Linked DNA regions of Caenorhabditis elegans. The protein of the gene in region 1 purifies or fractionates together with the protein of each later gene. This does not show direct contact. Each region holds a gene or a part of one and is shown in the gene's direction. Other genes may lie near its edges.

What was found. The genes of interacting proteins can lie anywhere in the genome.
Region 2: the proteins of hpo-30 (region 1) and Y57G11C.1147 purify together in Caenorhabditis elegans (co-purification; one study listed by BioGRID). This does not show direct contact.
Region 3: the proteins of hpo-30 (region 1) and wve-1 purify together in Caenorhabditis elegans (co-purification; one study listed by BioGRID). This does not show direct contact.

The regions. Positions count from the first base shown.
Region 1 is NC_003283.11:12,308,158-12,312,425, reverse strand, and holds hpo-30 (Clc-like protein), read left to right. Parts: upstream 1-2,069; 5' UTR 2,070-2,083; coding exon 2,084-2,185; intron 2,186-2,237; coding exon 2,238-2,349; intron 2,350-2,393; coding exon 2,394-2,501; intron 2,502-2,916; coding exon 2,917-3,182; intron 3,183-3,238; coding exon 3,239-3,396; intron 3,397-3,483; coding exon 3,484-3,577; 3' UTR 3,578-3,701; downstream 3,702-4,268. Other genes in the region: srg-45 (Serpentine receptor class gamma), read right to left, coding at 3,768-3,845, 3,893-4,201.
Region 2 is NC_003282.8:14,795,942-14,799,032, reverse strand, and holds Y57G11C.1147 (Protein BRICK1), read left to right. Parts: upstream 1-1,518; 5' UTR 1,519-1,582; coding exon 1,583-1,648; intron 1,649-1,850; coding exon 1,851-1,899; intron 1,900-1,959; coding exon 1,960-2,069; 3' UTR 2,070-2,071; coding exon of another isoform or gene 2,072-2,344; intron 2,345-2,392; coding exon of another isoform or gene 2,393-2,515; 3' UTR 2,516-2,591; downstream 2,592-3,091. Other genes in the region: arl-8 (ADP-ribosylation factor-like protein 8B), read right to left, coding at 202-248, 296-683, 732-854; nuo-3 (NADH dehydrogenase [ubiquinone] 1 alpha subcomplex subunit 6), read left to right, coding at 2,072-2,344, 2,393-2,515; coq-3 (Ubiquinone biosynthesis O-methyltransferase, mitochondrial), read left to right, coding at 2,709-2,804, 2,853-3,083.
Region 3 is NC_003279.8:11,924,041-11,931,106, reverse strand, and holds wve-1 (Wiskott-Aldrich syndrome protein family member), read left to right. Parts: upstream 1-1,590; 5' UTR 1,591-1,599; coding exon 1,600-1,736; intron 1,737-1,785; coding exon 1,786-2,389; intron 2,390-3,659; coding exon 3,660-3,986; intron 3,987-5,323; coding exon 5,324-5,401; intron 5,402-5,571; coding exon 5,572-5,832; 3' UTR 5,833-6,566; downstream 6,567-7,066. Other genes in the region: R06C1.4 (RRM domain-containing protein), read right to left, coding at 273-300.

The DNA.
Region 1 (4,268 bases):
ATTTTATTTTTTGTGTGTTTGTCTTGATGACAAATGTTCGGCAATTCATCATTTTTTTTAGTCGCTTTAAGGAAATCCAGAGTCTCCGCCTTCTCAACGAACAATTTGCGGAGAGTGCACCTACGATTTAGAATTTAGGAGATTTCATGCATTGGAAATGAGAAAAATGGGTGAATAGCATTTTCTCACCTTTTCTTAGCGGTTCTTGCATTTCAAAATGTTTCATAGAATCTGAAAATAAAAAAAGTTCATTCTCATGTCTAGCTTTTTTTTGAATGAATGAAAAAATTGTCTTCCAGTTAGTGTTACTGAAAAATATTTACTTAATGATTTTTTGATATATGCAAAATGCAACAAGATTTAAATTATTTTTTAAAAAAAGTTAAATTTTCTCAGCAACATGCCCAGAATCCTGCCGAAATTTTTCTTTCGATACCTGCAATACCTAAAAAGATAATTACATTTTTCTTCTTAGAAATGAATATACAAGCCCCCCTCATCGCCTTATCTGCATGAGAAATAAAAATACGCCCAACTAAAAAGTAATTCCACTTGTTTTTGCGTCAGGCTATATTCGTTTTTCTTAAAGTCAGTGTTTATTGATCTTCTTCAATTTGAGAAAATTAGTCTGATGACCTCTATACAAGGATATGTCAATAGAAACTGACATTTGGACTTTGCATAAAATTGAAAAAGAAGCGGCGGGAAGAGATGAAAACAAACTTTAATTCGATGAGACGTTTTCTGAGTTTTCGAGGAAAAAGGTTCCAACATCCTCTACACCTTTCAAATATTCCAAATTATATTTGAACTAGGTGGACACTTTAATTGTAGTTATATTTTCGTTTCCAACATCATTCACTTAAATCCGCTCTTTGAACATTTATTTCTCAATTTCTTCTCCGTGGGAATTTCAAGTGCTTTGGTTTTTTTGTAAATGCCATAAACTCATAGCTAATCCAAAATTGTATTTTATATATGTGTTTTGAGTGTGCTTTGAATAATTCGACCATATGTCAAGTGTTCGTTTTCCTTCCCTCTTCCGGAAATGTTGCCAAAATTTCGAAACTGGACATCTTCTTGTCTATCAAAAATCGAGATACAATCTTGAGTGGCTCTGTTGGGTTTCGTAATTTTCAAATTTGTTGATTTTTCACGAAAAGCGACTTATTTGGGTTTGTTATGTAATTTCATTGCGTTAATTCATAAAAATTTGAGTTTTATTTTTCTGATGATTGCATTGGTTCTGTTTTTCTCACTTTGGCTGGTTCATAGAAATCTATAAAAATGAAACTCAGAACATGTAGAAAAGTAGGCTACGCTTGTAATGTACTCCTATGGTCAACATCTTTCTTTCAACACCTAATAAATCTTTTGCACACATTCTCAGCTGTTCCAGGCCCTAAGGGAACTCAAGACGTGCAATTTCCAAGTTGCTCTCTTCCATACCAAAATGTCTCGTCTAGTTTTTTTTTTCATCATTTGTTCTACTTACATCTTGACTGTCAGTAATTTTGGGCATTTTCTAATTCTCATTCATTTGTTTTTTTTACTTTCTTTGAGTTCCAATTAAGAAACGAGATAGAATAGAAACGAGACAATGAAAAGAAAAAAGTTCGTTTAAAATTCTATTTTGTTCTGAATAACTTCCATGACTTCAGTCAAGGACAATAGCTTGTTTTGAAGGCATTTGAGATTTCTGGACACTTGCGCAATATAACTAAACAGATACGAAGCAATAGTTGAATTCATTTACGTGTCTACACACCTGGTTTATTATGTTTTTGCTGCTTTTGTTTTCTTTTATAGCAGAAGAAAGTTTTCTCCTCAAACTTCAGAGTTTTCACAATTCTCATTAAACATCCTTAAAAGTATTCCGATATTTTCTCACCCTGCAAAAGCAAAAAGATAATCCAATACCCTTCTCTCACTCCATTTCTACGTATTCTTCCGTTCATTCCTCCAATTCAAGTGCCCACTTGATCTTCCTTGAAATTCGAGACTCACGACTTCTCCTTTTAACTAGCACTTTTAACACGTTTCCACATTCTTCTAGTTTAAGATTTTTCAGAGTAACCACGGAATGCCATTAATTATGTACAAATTTCTATTAGTCACTTCAATATTCTTAATCGTTTCCGGGCTAATATTAACTGCGTTCTCGTTGTTTAGTCCTCTTTGGGAAGTAAGTTTCTAGTCAATAAAATTCTGGTTTTTTTTAAATGTCAATTTTGTAGGTAGTTGATTTTCCTCGTTCTCATTTATCACATCATCACGGTCTTTGGTGGGATTGTATTGTACATCATGAAACTTTAATTCCGTTACATGAAGATCAAGCAGAACTTCGAGGTACCTTTTTTCTGCTTTTGTTTTCTAAATAAAACAAGTTTAAGGTGATCGATGTGATAGTAAGATGGATTCTTCGGTTCAAGCATCATTAAGAGTTGCTCTTGAAAAAGGAGATGAAGAGGCCAGAGAGCTTTTGTTACATCGGTTTCTACGTAAGTTAACAATATTTTAATGCTTTTCATGTGCCGAAACTTACTTTTTTCTTTGTTAGAAAGATAAACTAGAAACTATATAAAACTGATTTACCAAATGCAGGTTCAAGTTATTTTTTAAAATAATTAGAGTGTGAGCGTAGTAGTTCAATAATTTGTTGATCAATTTTCTCTTTCTGGATACAGAAGCGTATTGGCATTGCAACGTACATACACATGTTTGGTTCCATGCTATTAATTCAATTGATTTTCTGTCTTAAATTCTAGGACTGTAATGCTATTTTTTGTAATTTAGTATTTTCTGATCTAGAATATGCGGTAACAATAAATTAGATTTTACTGTCCAAACACAAAATTACTGAAGATACAAGTTGATTTTATATTCTTCATGAAACCAAAAAAAAATTAATTTCAGCTCATCACAAAGGTGTAATTTTCTTCGCAGTTTTCACTTTTGTTTTCGGACTAATCTCCATCCTGATTGGCTCCTGTTCTCCATGTTTTCCACCAAATGCACTACTTTATGTAGTTGGTGTCTTTATGACCGGAGCATGTTCTTTATTAGCAGATATTATCTACATATTTGCTTTTAATCAGAAACCAATTTTTACAAAAGAACAATCTGAGCCACACCAAGAAGTTTTATCGAGAAGAGAACGAGGATCCATTGGACCCATTTATGTAAAAATTCGAAAAAAAATTGATGTCATCTTTTTATTTTTTTTTTCAAATTCCAGAAGCGTCTTGGCATTGCAACGTACATGCATATGTTTGGTTCCATGCTATTAATTGCTGCATTCATCTTTTCAATTTTTTGTGCCTACTTCCTCATCACTTCAAAACATGCACACGACGTTTGTTGCACAAGTCGAAAAGAGTACAGAGAGCAGACAAAGTAAGTTTAATCTGATTTGCGGATTTTTCTAAACATGTAACTTTCGTCTAATAAAACAACTTTCAAGAGTAAAATAAAGGTTTTCAGATGGAAAAACAATGGGCTAATTCTAAAAACTGGAAGAGTAAATCATCAATCACATCGGCCATTTGTAGTGATTGACGATGACAGCAGTATGTGAACTGATATGCTCTCAATTTAAAAATTCTGTGATTTGATCTCTTTATTTTGAAATACGGGTTTTTAACAATTTGATCTTAATAATGAATGTAAATAATGTTCAATTAATAAATGTAAAACAAGAAGTTTCAAAATCAAATTGGAATTTTAAAAATAATTTGTGTCTTTCCATACACTCGCATTTTCATAACTTAGTTTGTCAAAGATCGTACTTGGAGAATCGTTGCTTTAGGTTTTATACCAAACAATATCAAAATTTCTTTTCTCATCTGAAAATCAGGATATAACATTCTTGAGACTATATTTCAACCCTCACAGTTTTACTAAAACAAATCAACAGCCAAGGTTGCACCAAAGATAAACCGTCACTAACAAATGGTAGAACCATTGTAAGATATGATAACATAGAACAATAGTTGCACTTCAATAAAGCAATAGAAATTATTGTTCCAATAAGTTGGACTAAACATGTTATAGACATTATGAGTAAAAAGTTTGTTTCCGCTTTTTTTCTTTGAATATTCAGATTTCGTAAAAATATGACACTTGTAGTATTGGAAAGAATTGAAATTGCCATACAAATGCACATAAATGGAATTAATACATTGTAAATTTCTATGAATGGCTGAAACCTCAATCAAGTTATTTATTTATTTATTTTTATTTTTTTTTGTTTTGTAAAAGTTTCCGCC
Region 2 (3,091 bases), on another chromosome or scaffold:
AATAAAACTGGGAGCGAATGGGTTGGGGAAATTGACTACAATTGTGATGAAAAAGACGAGAGAGATTAGTTGAATATGGAGGGGAGGGGATTCAAATAAATAATATCTACAGAATTTTCAAAAAAAAAAGGTTTGATTTAATATATTTTGCGGTGTGAATTGTAAATTTTCGAGTAGATTGAGTCGTGGATTGTGCCTAGTTTAGCGTTGAGCTTTCGAGTGATCGATGAGCCATTGGAGGGTGATATCTGGAAAACAATTCAGTTTAGAATGGTTCAAAGATTTAAAAAATTACCAATATTCTCCTTCTCTTTGCATGAAATAGAATAGCAGCAAATCTCGCGATTCTGGATTGATGACAGATTCATTCTTTCGATCAATTGCCGCTCATCAAGTGCTCCAGGCAAATCCTTCTTGTTTCCGAGCACCAAAACTGGAATAGCGTCGAGCTGTGGCTTGTCCAACAGCTGCATAAGCTCATTTCTGGATGCTTCGAGCTTCTCCTCGTCGGCAGCGTCCACCATGAAGACGATGGCGTTGACACCGCGGCAATATCGTTCCCACATCGAGCGGAACCGTGGCTGGCCCCCGATATCCCATAATTTGATCGTCACGTTGCCTTTGGTGATCTTCCGCATATTGAATCCGACTGTTGGGATCATATCTTCTGTGAATTGGCCGCTCTAAAGTGAAGAACATTGAATTTAAATTTATTTTCCAGAAAAACTAACAGCAATAACATTGACAAATGTCGTTTTTCCAGAGTTTTGGAGCCCAACAAGTGTCAACTCCATCTCCTCTTTCCAAAAAAGACTGCGAATCCAGTCGAGAACCTTATTCACCATAGCCAACATCTTGAATATTGATGTTGAATGAGGAAATTCCTGAAAAGTGCAATTCGATTGAAAAGGGTGTGTGTGTGAGAGAGCACAAAGAAAAACAGAAGGGTTTAACGGAAAACCGCTATTAATTTTGGAGCAAGCTCGCTTTTGCTGTTGAAAAAAAAACAAGTAGAAATATTGATTTTCCTTATCGCAAAATTTATTTTGCAGTAACTTTCACGAAATCAAAACCAATGAATCATCGAGAATAGTCAACAAAACACGTGATGTCTATAAAATTTTGAGAGAAACGTTTCAAAACAATAGAATTGCTAAAAGCAGATAGTTTCATTGGATAATATCGGATTGCAATAAGAGTTTTCAGTGAATATAGTCTTAATTTTTACAAATTTCTCAAGCGGACACAGTTTTTTGCTCAGTTTGCTCGATTTTCTAAAATCTGAATTTACGTTTGTCTAACCCATTCTCAATGAATGTATGGAATTTTTGAAAAAACTAATGAATAATCAGTCTATTTCCTTGAAAATTCTCAAAAAATCGATAGAAAATCCCGAAAATCCGTCGAAAATTACGAAATCCAAAGCCAAATCAGTGCGACAAGGAGCCAATCGAACGACCGCTGACATCAAAGGCGCACGCAGTTTCGAGGACGGGTTTCGCCGCGATCGAGTGTGTCGATTTACGCAGCACGCGGCACACCGGCGACCATCCTTCACCGTTTTTCAGCTTTTCAGCGTTGAATGCACGCTTCGGAAGCCGTTCAACAACAACTAAAGGACGACTGGGATAATCGCGAGTTTGAGCAGGTTAGTAGACGGAAAAAAATGATGGAAATCGATTGAAATGTGAATGAAAATTGATTAAAAATGGTTGTTGAAATTTTTGAATATTTTTAACTGCGGTGTTGAAATAGCTTTTCACTTCAGTAGGTTGTGATTTTATACAATTTTACAACAAATATTCATGTGTGAATTCATATCTCCCACACTAACCCGTACTAACTTTCAGATTATTGCCGATAACATCAAGAACATCGCTAACTTCTTGTCCAGCTTTGGTTTGTAGAAAAATTATTATTTTAAATTAATTCCTTTAAAAAATATCTGATTTCTTCCAGAGCTCTCTTGCCGCACAAAACTAGCGACTCTCAGCGACAAGCTTAACCTTTTGGAACGAAAGGTCGAATTTCTTGAAGCCCGTGTCACCAAAGGAGATACTCTTTCGTAATAATGTCTGCAACTGCCGGAAGAGTCGTCCGTGCCGGACAACACGCCGTTCGCACCGTCGCTCCAATCAAATCCAACAATTCCGCCGAGGCACGCATGTCGGTTCTCGCCGCTTATAAGGAGTTCCAACGTCTCACTCCAAAGTTCTGGTGGGATTTCGGACTTCATGATATGCCGCTCGGCGTGTTCCGTGCTGTCATCAAGAAGCAATTCACAAAGAACGGACATCTCACCGATGTTCGTGTCGTTGACAGACTTGTCGGAGAAACTCATCAGGTTTTTGAATAAAATTTAAATTTTCTAAACTCTAATTGTCACTTTCAGCACATGAAATCGATCCGTTACGCATTCTACAACCCGGATCACGTGCGCAACTACCTGTTCGCTGAAAATGTCGAAGCCAAGCCAAAGGACTTCCTCTCCAAATTCCTCAACGGAAAGGAATAGATTTTTTATTTTTCAGTGTTTTATGTGTAATTGTAAAGTAAATTCTCGTATTTTAAATCGAATCGGCTGATACTAGAAGGAATAAAATCTGATTTTTTGACTTAAAAATTGATTTGGCAGGTTCTACGACCTAATTTTATTTCTTTTTCGATTTTTTTTGTTTATTTTGATTGAATTTTATTTTTCCTGGTAGATGATCCCTTCACGAAGTGCCAGAATCATCGCAAAGCTACAACGACTACACTCGACTACTTCAGCCGCTTCAGTATCTTCTATTGATGTAAAAGAGGTAAAACATATAAAAATAAGCTATTTATCTGTAGAAAAATTATTTTAGGTCGAAAAATTCGGAGACTTGTCTGCAGAATGGGCTGATGAACTGGGTCCCTTCCACGCACTTCACTCATTAAACAGGATTCGAGTTCCTTGGATTGTCGATAATGTTAGAAAAAGCGATCAGAAGGCTCCTCCTCGATTAGTGGACGTTGGAAGCGGAGGGGGTCTTTTGTCGATTCCACTGGCCAGAAGTGGATTCGATGTTACAGGAATTGATGCGACGAAGCAAGCTGTAAGGGA
Region 3 (7,066 bases), on another chromosome or scaffold:
CAGTTAGTAGACTCAGTTATACTTATACACGTGGAAGGGGACTACCTGAAATATCGGGATTTGTTGTCAAGGAACACGAATGAACCATAGAGAACGAAGGCCGATCGGAAAACGCTAACAATTATCAGAAATCGATACTTTCTGCAAGTCGAAGAAAAGTTCATCGAAGAAAAGTGTGAGAAAGTTTCAGAAGTTTTGAGAATTTTGTATCATATTCAAAATTTGTACAAATTTAAATTTAATTTTCACCACCGATTTATTACTATACTTACCGTAGACGGAGAATCCTTGGGAAGCCATGATAGATTTTTTTTTGAAGAAAAACGAGTGTGTTTCCGCGTGGAAGACAGACTAAAAATGTTCGATCGAATTTGGCAGTCCTAAAAAGATTGAGGCCAAACGCGCGGCGGGTCTCGCAGCGAACGTGCCGCACTACGGTCGATTTTGTGTAGGTTTACGGGAGGGATATTTTGGAGAAGAAATCGGCAATTGTTGGGAAAGTGAAATGCTTATTACGTAACAAATTTGACGCGAAATATACCTCGTAGCGAAAACTACAGTAATTCTTTAAATGACTACTGTACGGGCTCGGTATTCGAAATGAATTTTAGCTTCTGTGACACAACCAAGTTGGCGAAAATTGAGAATTTAGCTATATTTTGTTATTTTTCTCAGAATTAGAACAATTTCATTGATAAATAAAAAGGACCATCTCTCCGAAACCTCGCCATTTCACGATATTTTGAATATTTTGAACAGTAAATATTGAAATTTCAATCTCATTCTATTTTCGCATTTTCCTGTATCGATTTTTTGTTTTGTATATCATTTTTTAGACCGAAAAAAATTAATATTTAAATAAATATAAAACATTTCCGGAAATGAAAATATTTCCGATGAATCACAGCGAGACACTGTATGTATTCGAGAGAGTGCAGACGCTCGCTTGCGCACTTCTCGTGAGTGTTTGCTGACGCATCCCGGGTGCACCTTGGCGCATTTCTGGATTAATGATATTTTAATTGAAAAACATGAGATTTTATTGGTTTTTCCTCGTTTTTTGCAGTTTTTCCGATGAAAAAAAACATTTTCTGACAGAAATAATAATTTTGAAGCTGAAAAACTATGTATTTTATGATATTTCGTTGGAAAATTAGGTTTTATAAGTTTTTCAGTGAATTTGTGGGTTTAGCATGTAAATGAAGCAATTTTATATGTTTTCTAGCGATTTTTCCCGGTAAAGTTACCAATTTCAGCATAATTTTATTAAAAAAGTGGCTTTTCTGTTTAAAAAACTCAATTTTATAATTTTTCCAGTGCATTTTCGTGTTTACCATTAACATTAGAGTTTTTCGTGGAATTTTCCAACTAATTTCATTGATTTTGGCTGCTCGCTTTTATGAAGTTTCCAGTGAATTTTTATGTTTAACTAATTTTTTTCACGATTTTCGTGCCAATTTCCATTAAATCCATGGATTTTTACATATTATTCAGGGAAGAAAGTGATTTTTTTTCGATTTCAAGTCATCTTCTGTGAATTCTAACGCTTTCTCGCAATTTCCACCCACATAATCCCGCAATTTCTGCACATTTTCAGCAATGCCTCTAACAAAACGGGCGGTATCACCGGTAAACCTCAGCAGAGGCACAATTCCATCAACAATCCATCGTGATGAGCTTCAATGTACTGCTAATGGGACAATCGCCAATTTAGTACGACAATTGAGCTCGTTGAGGTGGGAAATTAGGTCGGAAAACTGGAATTTTATCGATTTTTTTTTGCAGTAAGCACGCTGAGAACATCTTCGGAGAGATTTATCACGACGCAATGATAATAAATCACAAATCGAACACTCTTCAACAGAGAATTGATAGATTGCACAAGAAAGTTGAAGATTTGGATTCAAATTCCGATCAAGCAACGTTGAATGAAGCGAATATGCGAAAAGCATTCAAAAGTTCAATGCTTGTAGATCAACATATTCTGGATAGAAGCACTTTACCTACAGCATTGACTGAAATATATGCAAAATGTGATCCACCGCCGGATCTTGATGCTCTAAATCCGTATAGAGACTCTGAAATCCCTGCGCTCTCTCTCTACACAAATCCCTCGTTTTTCTTCGATTTATGGAAAAAGGAGACACTAAAAGAGGTTGCCGAACGGCCCAGACGGGTAAAAAGCCCGAACGACGGGAGTAAAAGCCCGAAAAAGCGGCGGAAGCAGCCTGGACAAGGCCCTCTCGGCACGACGGCCTATAATGATATGCAGCATAGGAATCGACAGATTAGTGGATCACGGATTAATCAGCAGAATGAAGTTTTCTCGTTCCCGGAGGAATATCAGGCTCCGCAGGCTCTCGGGCTTCAGCTTAACTTTAAAAATCAGGTAGATTTTCGCGAGATTTTTCGATTTTTTGAAGAGAAAATCTCCAAACCGTTGAAAATCGGAAAAAATCGATAATTGAGCCCAAAAATTTGAAAAAAATCGAGTTTTTTGCTGAAAAAGTGAATTTTCTATTGTTTAAAAAGAAAATCAACTTTTCAACGAGATTTCAGCGCTTACACAGCTCTTGTGCTCCCCGAGCAGGCCAAAATGTTCTATTTTGGGGCAAAATTATGGGTTTCCAGTAATTTGGAGCATGAAATTTCCTAAAAATGCACTTTTTCGCCAAAAAACAAGCCAAAATCAATGAGAAAAAGTCACTTTTTCATTAAAATCTGCGAAGATTGATAAGTTTTTGGAAAAATCGCTAGAAACCCTACAAATTAACTTCAAAAAAACTATGAAATCGAATTTTTCAACGAAGTCCCAGCTTTTCCGCTTCAAATGATTTTTTACCGTTGAAAATCGGAAAAAATCGATAATTGAGCCCAAAAATTTGAAAAAAAATCGAGTTTTTTGCTGAAAAAGTGAATTTTCTATTGTTTAAAAAGAAAATCAACTTTTCAACGAGATTTCAGCGCTTACACAGCTCTTGTGCTCCCCGAGAAGGCAAAAATTCTCTATTTTGGGCCAATATTTGGGTTTTTTAGCCATTTGGGGCTTGAAATTTCATAAAAATTCACTAGAAACTTCCAAAAAGCCGAGTTTTCACCGAAAAACAAGCGAAAATCAATGAAATTAGTGGGAAATTCCTTAGAAAAAATAATTTTTCAACAGAAAAGTGCCACTTTTTCATTAAAAATATGCGAAAATTGATAATTTTTTTTTTGGAAAAATCGCTAGAAACCCTACAAATTAACTATAAAAATCCTATAAAGTCGAAAGTTTCAATGGGAACAAATAATTTTGAAGCTGAAAAGTTATGGATTCTAGAGGATTTCGTTGAAAAATTCGATTTTATAGGGTTTTTATAATTAATTTGTACGGTTTCTAGGGATTTTTCCAAAAAAACTTATCAATTTCAGCATATTTTTAGTGAAAAAGTGAAACATTTCTGTTGAAAAACGTTTTTCATTGATTTTGGCTTGTCTTTGAGGCTGAAAACTCGAGTTTTTTGGAAGTTTTCAGTGAATTTTTAAGAAATTTCATGCTCCAAATGACAAAAAAACTCTGAAAAATCGATAATTAAGCCCAAATATCCTTCTCTGGGAGTAATTTTGAAGAAAAAAACGATTTTTTCCACTGAAAATCTCCCAATTTTTGATAAATTCAGCACCCCTCCAACATGGTTGCCCCAATCGGAATGACAATGCACCATCATCCTCAACAAAATGTGCATCCGAGCCAACAACGAGGTGGTGCTCCAGCAGCAGCTCGTGGATCTCCGAATGTTAAACGTCCGACTGAAGCTCCGCCGCCAGTGAATCTGGATCACCTCCCACCACCGGATATGTCAATTTTATCGATTGATGATGATGATGATGATCTTCCACCACCACCACCACCGCTTCTCATGAATACATCAATTGTACATCAGTTACCAGCAGAAGCTCCGTCGACGATACAGTTTGTCGAGCCGAGTGCTGCTCCGCCGACTAATGTACGTTTTGGAGCTCGAGAGAATTTGGAGATTTTGGAGTAAAATCTTGGTTTTTGCGAGGAAAAAAGCTTGCGTTTTTGCTTTAAATTGTCCGTTTTCACGACGAAAAAGCTTGGAAAAGCTTGAAAAAACTAGAAAATGTGAAAAGTCTCTATTATTCTAAGTTATTATGAGCGTTTAGAAGCCTTAAGCCTTTTTCAGGCAAAATCTCGCTTTTTCGCTTTAATTTGTTCATTTGGGCCACGAAATCACGAAAAATTGGTTGAACTCTATTAGAAAGGCTTGAAACGGCTTGAAACCGTTTGGAAAAGCTTGGAAAAGCCTGACAGAGCTTGAACTAGCTTGGAAGAACTTGAAAGAGAACGATAAAGCTTGAACAAGTTTGGAAAGCCTGACAGAGCTTGAACTAGCTTGGAGAAGCTTAAAGAGCTTGAAAAAATAGTGAACAAGCTTGGAGAACCTTGAAATGGCTTGAAAACGTTTGGAAAACCCTGGAAAAGGCTTGAAAAGGCCTGCAAAAGACAGGAAAAGATTCCAAAACGCTTAAGAAAGCTTGAACAAGCTTGGAAAAGCTTGAAAGAGCAAGAAAAAGCCTGGAAAAGCTTGTAGAGCTTAAACGAACTTGTAATAGCTTGAAAAGGCTTGGAAAAGCCTGACAGAGCTTGAAATAGCTTGAATGAGCTTAACGAGCTTATAATAGTTTGAAAAAGCCTGGAAAAACCTGGAAAAGCTTGGAGGAGCTTGAACAAGCTTGACCAAGCTTGAGCAAGCCTGAAAGAGTTGGGAAAAGCCTGAAAAAGCTTGGAAACGCCTTGAAAAAGCTTGGAGGAGCTTGAACAAGCTTGACAAAGCTTGAAAAAGCCTGACTGAGCTTGAAATAGCTTCGATGAGCTTAAACAGCTTGAAACAGCTTGAAAGAGAACGATAGTGGCTTCGAAAAGCTTACAGAGCTTAAAAAAGCCTGGAAAAACTTCAAAATGCTCGTGCGAGCTTGAAACAGCTTGTAAAGCCTGAAAGAGCTTGGAAAAGGCGTCAAAAAGCTTAGACGAGCTCGAAAAAGCTTGCGAAAGCCTGGAAAAGCTAAAAAAGCCTGACTGAGCTTGAAATATCTTCGATGAGCTTAAAAAGCTTGAAACAGCTTGGAAAAGCTTGGAAATTTGTGAAAAGCTCCAAGATTTCTTGTAGTGCATAAAATTAATTTGAAGCTATATTTCTGCAATTTCCAAGCTTAAAACCCCGAATTTTTCAGTTAAAAATTTGCAATTTTTGTCCATTTTTGTGTTTCCCTCATTGTTGTCCACTTTCCGCTTCTTTCTTCAATTCTCGATCCCTTTCAGATCCCTCCACCACCTCCACCACCACCTCCAATGGTTATAAGCTCGGCTGCAGCGTCATTTGCAGCTCCGGCTCCAAAGGTAAAGGCGCTGGAACAGCAGGGCTCTATGTGTGTCTAACCCGCTGAAAATGTGTAGTTTTCCTGTGTTTTTTGGACTTTTTTGAAGCTTTTTTAGGGACAAATTTCAAGAGAAATAGCCGAATTTTCATCAAAAAATCGATTTTCTCCCACTAAAACTGAAATTTTCAGCCATCCGCGGACGGTGAAGCTGCTGGCACAAATTCCCCAGTTGCTCCAAAACAACCAGATGCTCGAAGTGATCTTTTGGCTCAAATTCAATCTGGAATAAAGCTGAAAAAAGTGCAAAGAGCCGAGGCAGAAGCCGCCGAGAATGCTGCTCTCGAGGCGAATAATGTTGCGGCGATATTGAAGAGACGAATGGATCAAGTTATGGGAAATGATGATTCAAGTAGTGAAGAAGGAGCTGATGATGATGAATGGGATGATTAATTGCTCTCTTTTGTGTCGATTTACGCAGATCTCGTGTACTCCTCGAGGAGAAGATTCTACAGATTTTGGCTAAAAATGCTTGATTTTCGCTATTTTTTCCTTGAAAATTAACATTCAAAGCGGTGATTTTTAAGCGAAAAACCCGTGAAAATAGCTCTAAATCAAGCATTATTACCCATTTTTGCATTTTTACTGATTTTTTCGGTGAAAAAAAAAACGATTTTTCGCTGAAATTCTTGATTTTCGCTATTTTTACTTGAAAATTAACATTCAAAGCGGTTATTTATGCACTTTTAAGTGAAATCTGAGTGTTTTTAAAGTTAAAAATAAAAATAATTCATTGATTTTTGCCAAAAAAAAAACCGTGAACATTGCGAAAATGGCTCAAAATCAAGTACTTTTTTTTGCTAAAATGGTTGATTTTGAGCCATTTTCGCTATTTTCACGGTTTTTTTTTGTCGGTGAAAACTTTAAAATCGCTCAAATTTCACTTAAAACGCTATAAATAACCGGTTTAAATGTTAATTTTGATAGAAAAATAGCGAAAATCAAGCATTTTTAAGCCAAAAAACTGTAAAATCTTCTCCTCGGGGACTACACGAGCTGCGTAAATCGACGCACACTTTTTCGAATTTTCTTGTGTAAATACTGCCTTGCTTTAATTTATTTATTCAAAAATTTTTAAAATTTTTTCCGCTTTCCTGTTTCAAATGAACTGATTTTTCTCATTTTTTGCCCCTCCAGAATTGTAAATTTAAATTTCCAAGTGGTCGCCTGCCCCCTCATTATTATTTCGCAATTTTATGATTCATCAGTTTTTCCAATTTTTATTCGATTTTTTTTCAATTTAAATCAATTTAAACCTTTGAAATGTAGGAAAACTTCAATTTTCGCTTAAAATTTTCAATTTTTGGTGAAAAATCGATTTTTCCGGAAAAAAAACGTGAAATTTCCAATTTGGAGCACATTTTTATGAAATTTGCATCATTTCTCTCGAATTTACGAAAATATTTAAATTTTCAGCGGAATTTGGACATATTTCCTGGAAAACTCTTGATTTTTCGCAGAAAATTGCAATTTTTCATGCAAAAATTTGTTTTCTACGCATCGGAGCTCCAAAATTCCCAAATTATTCGAAAATTCAATTTTTAGCTTTTTTTTTCTCGAAATTTCAATTGAAAATCGTGTTTTTTGGCTCATTTTAGCTCAGTTTTCAGCTGAAAAATTCGAAATT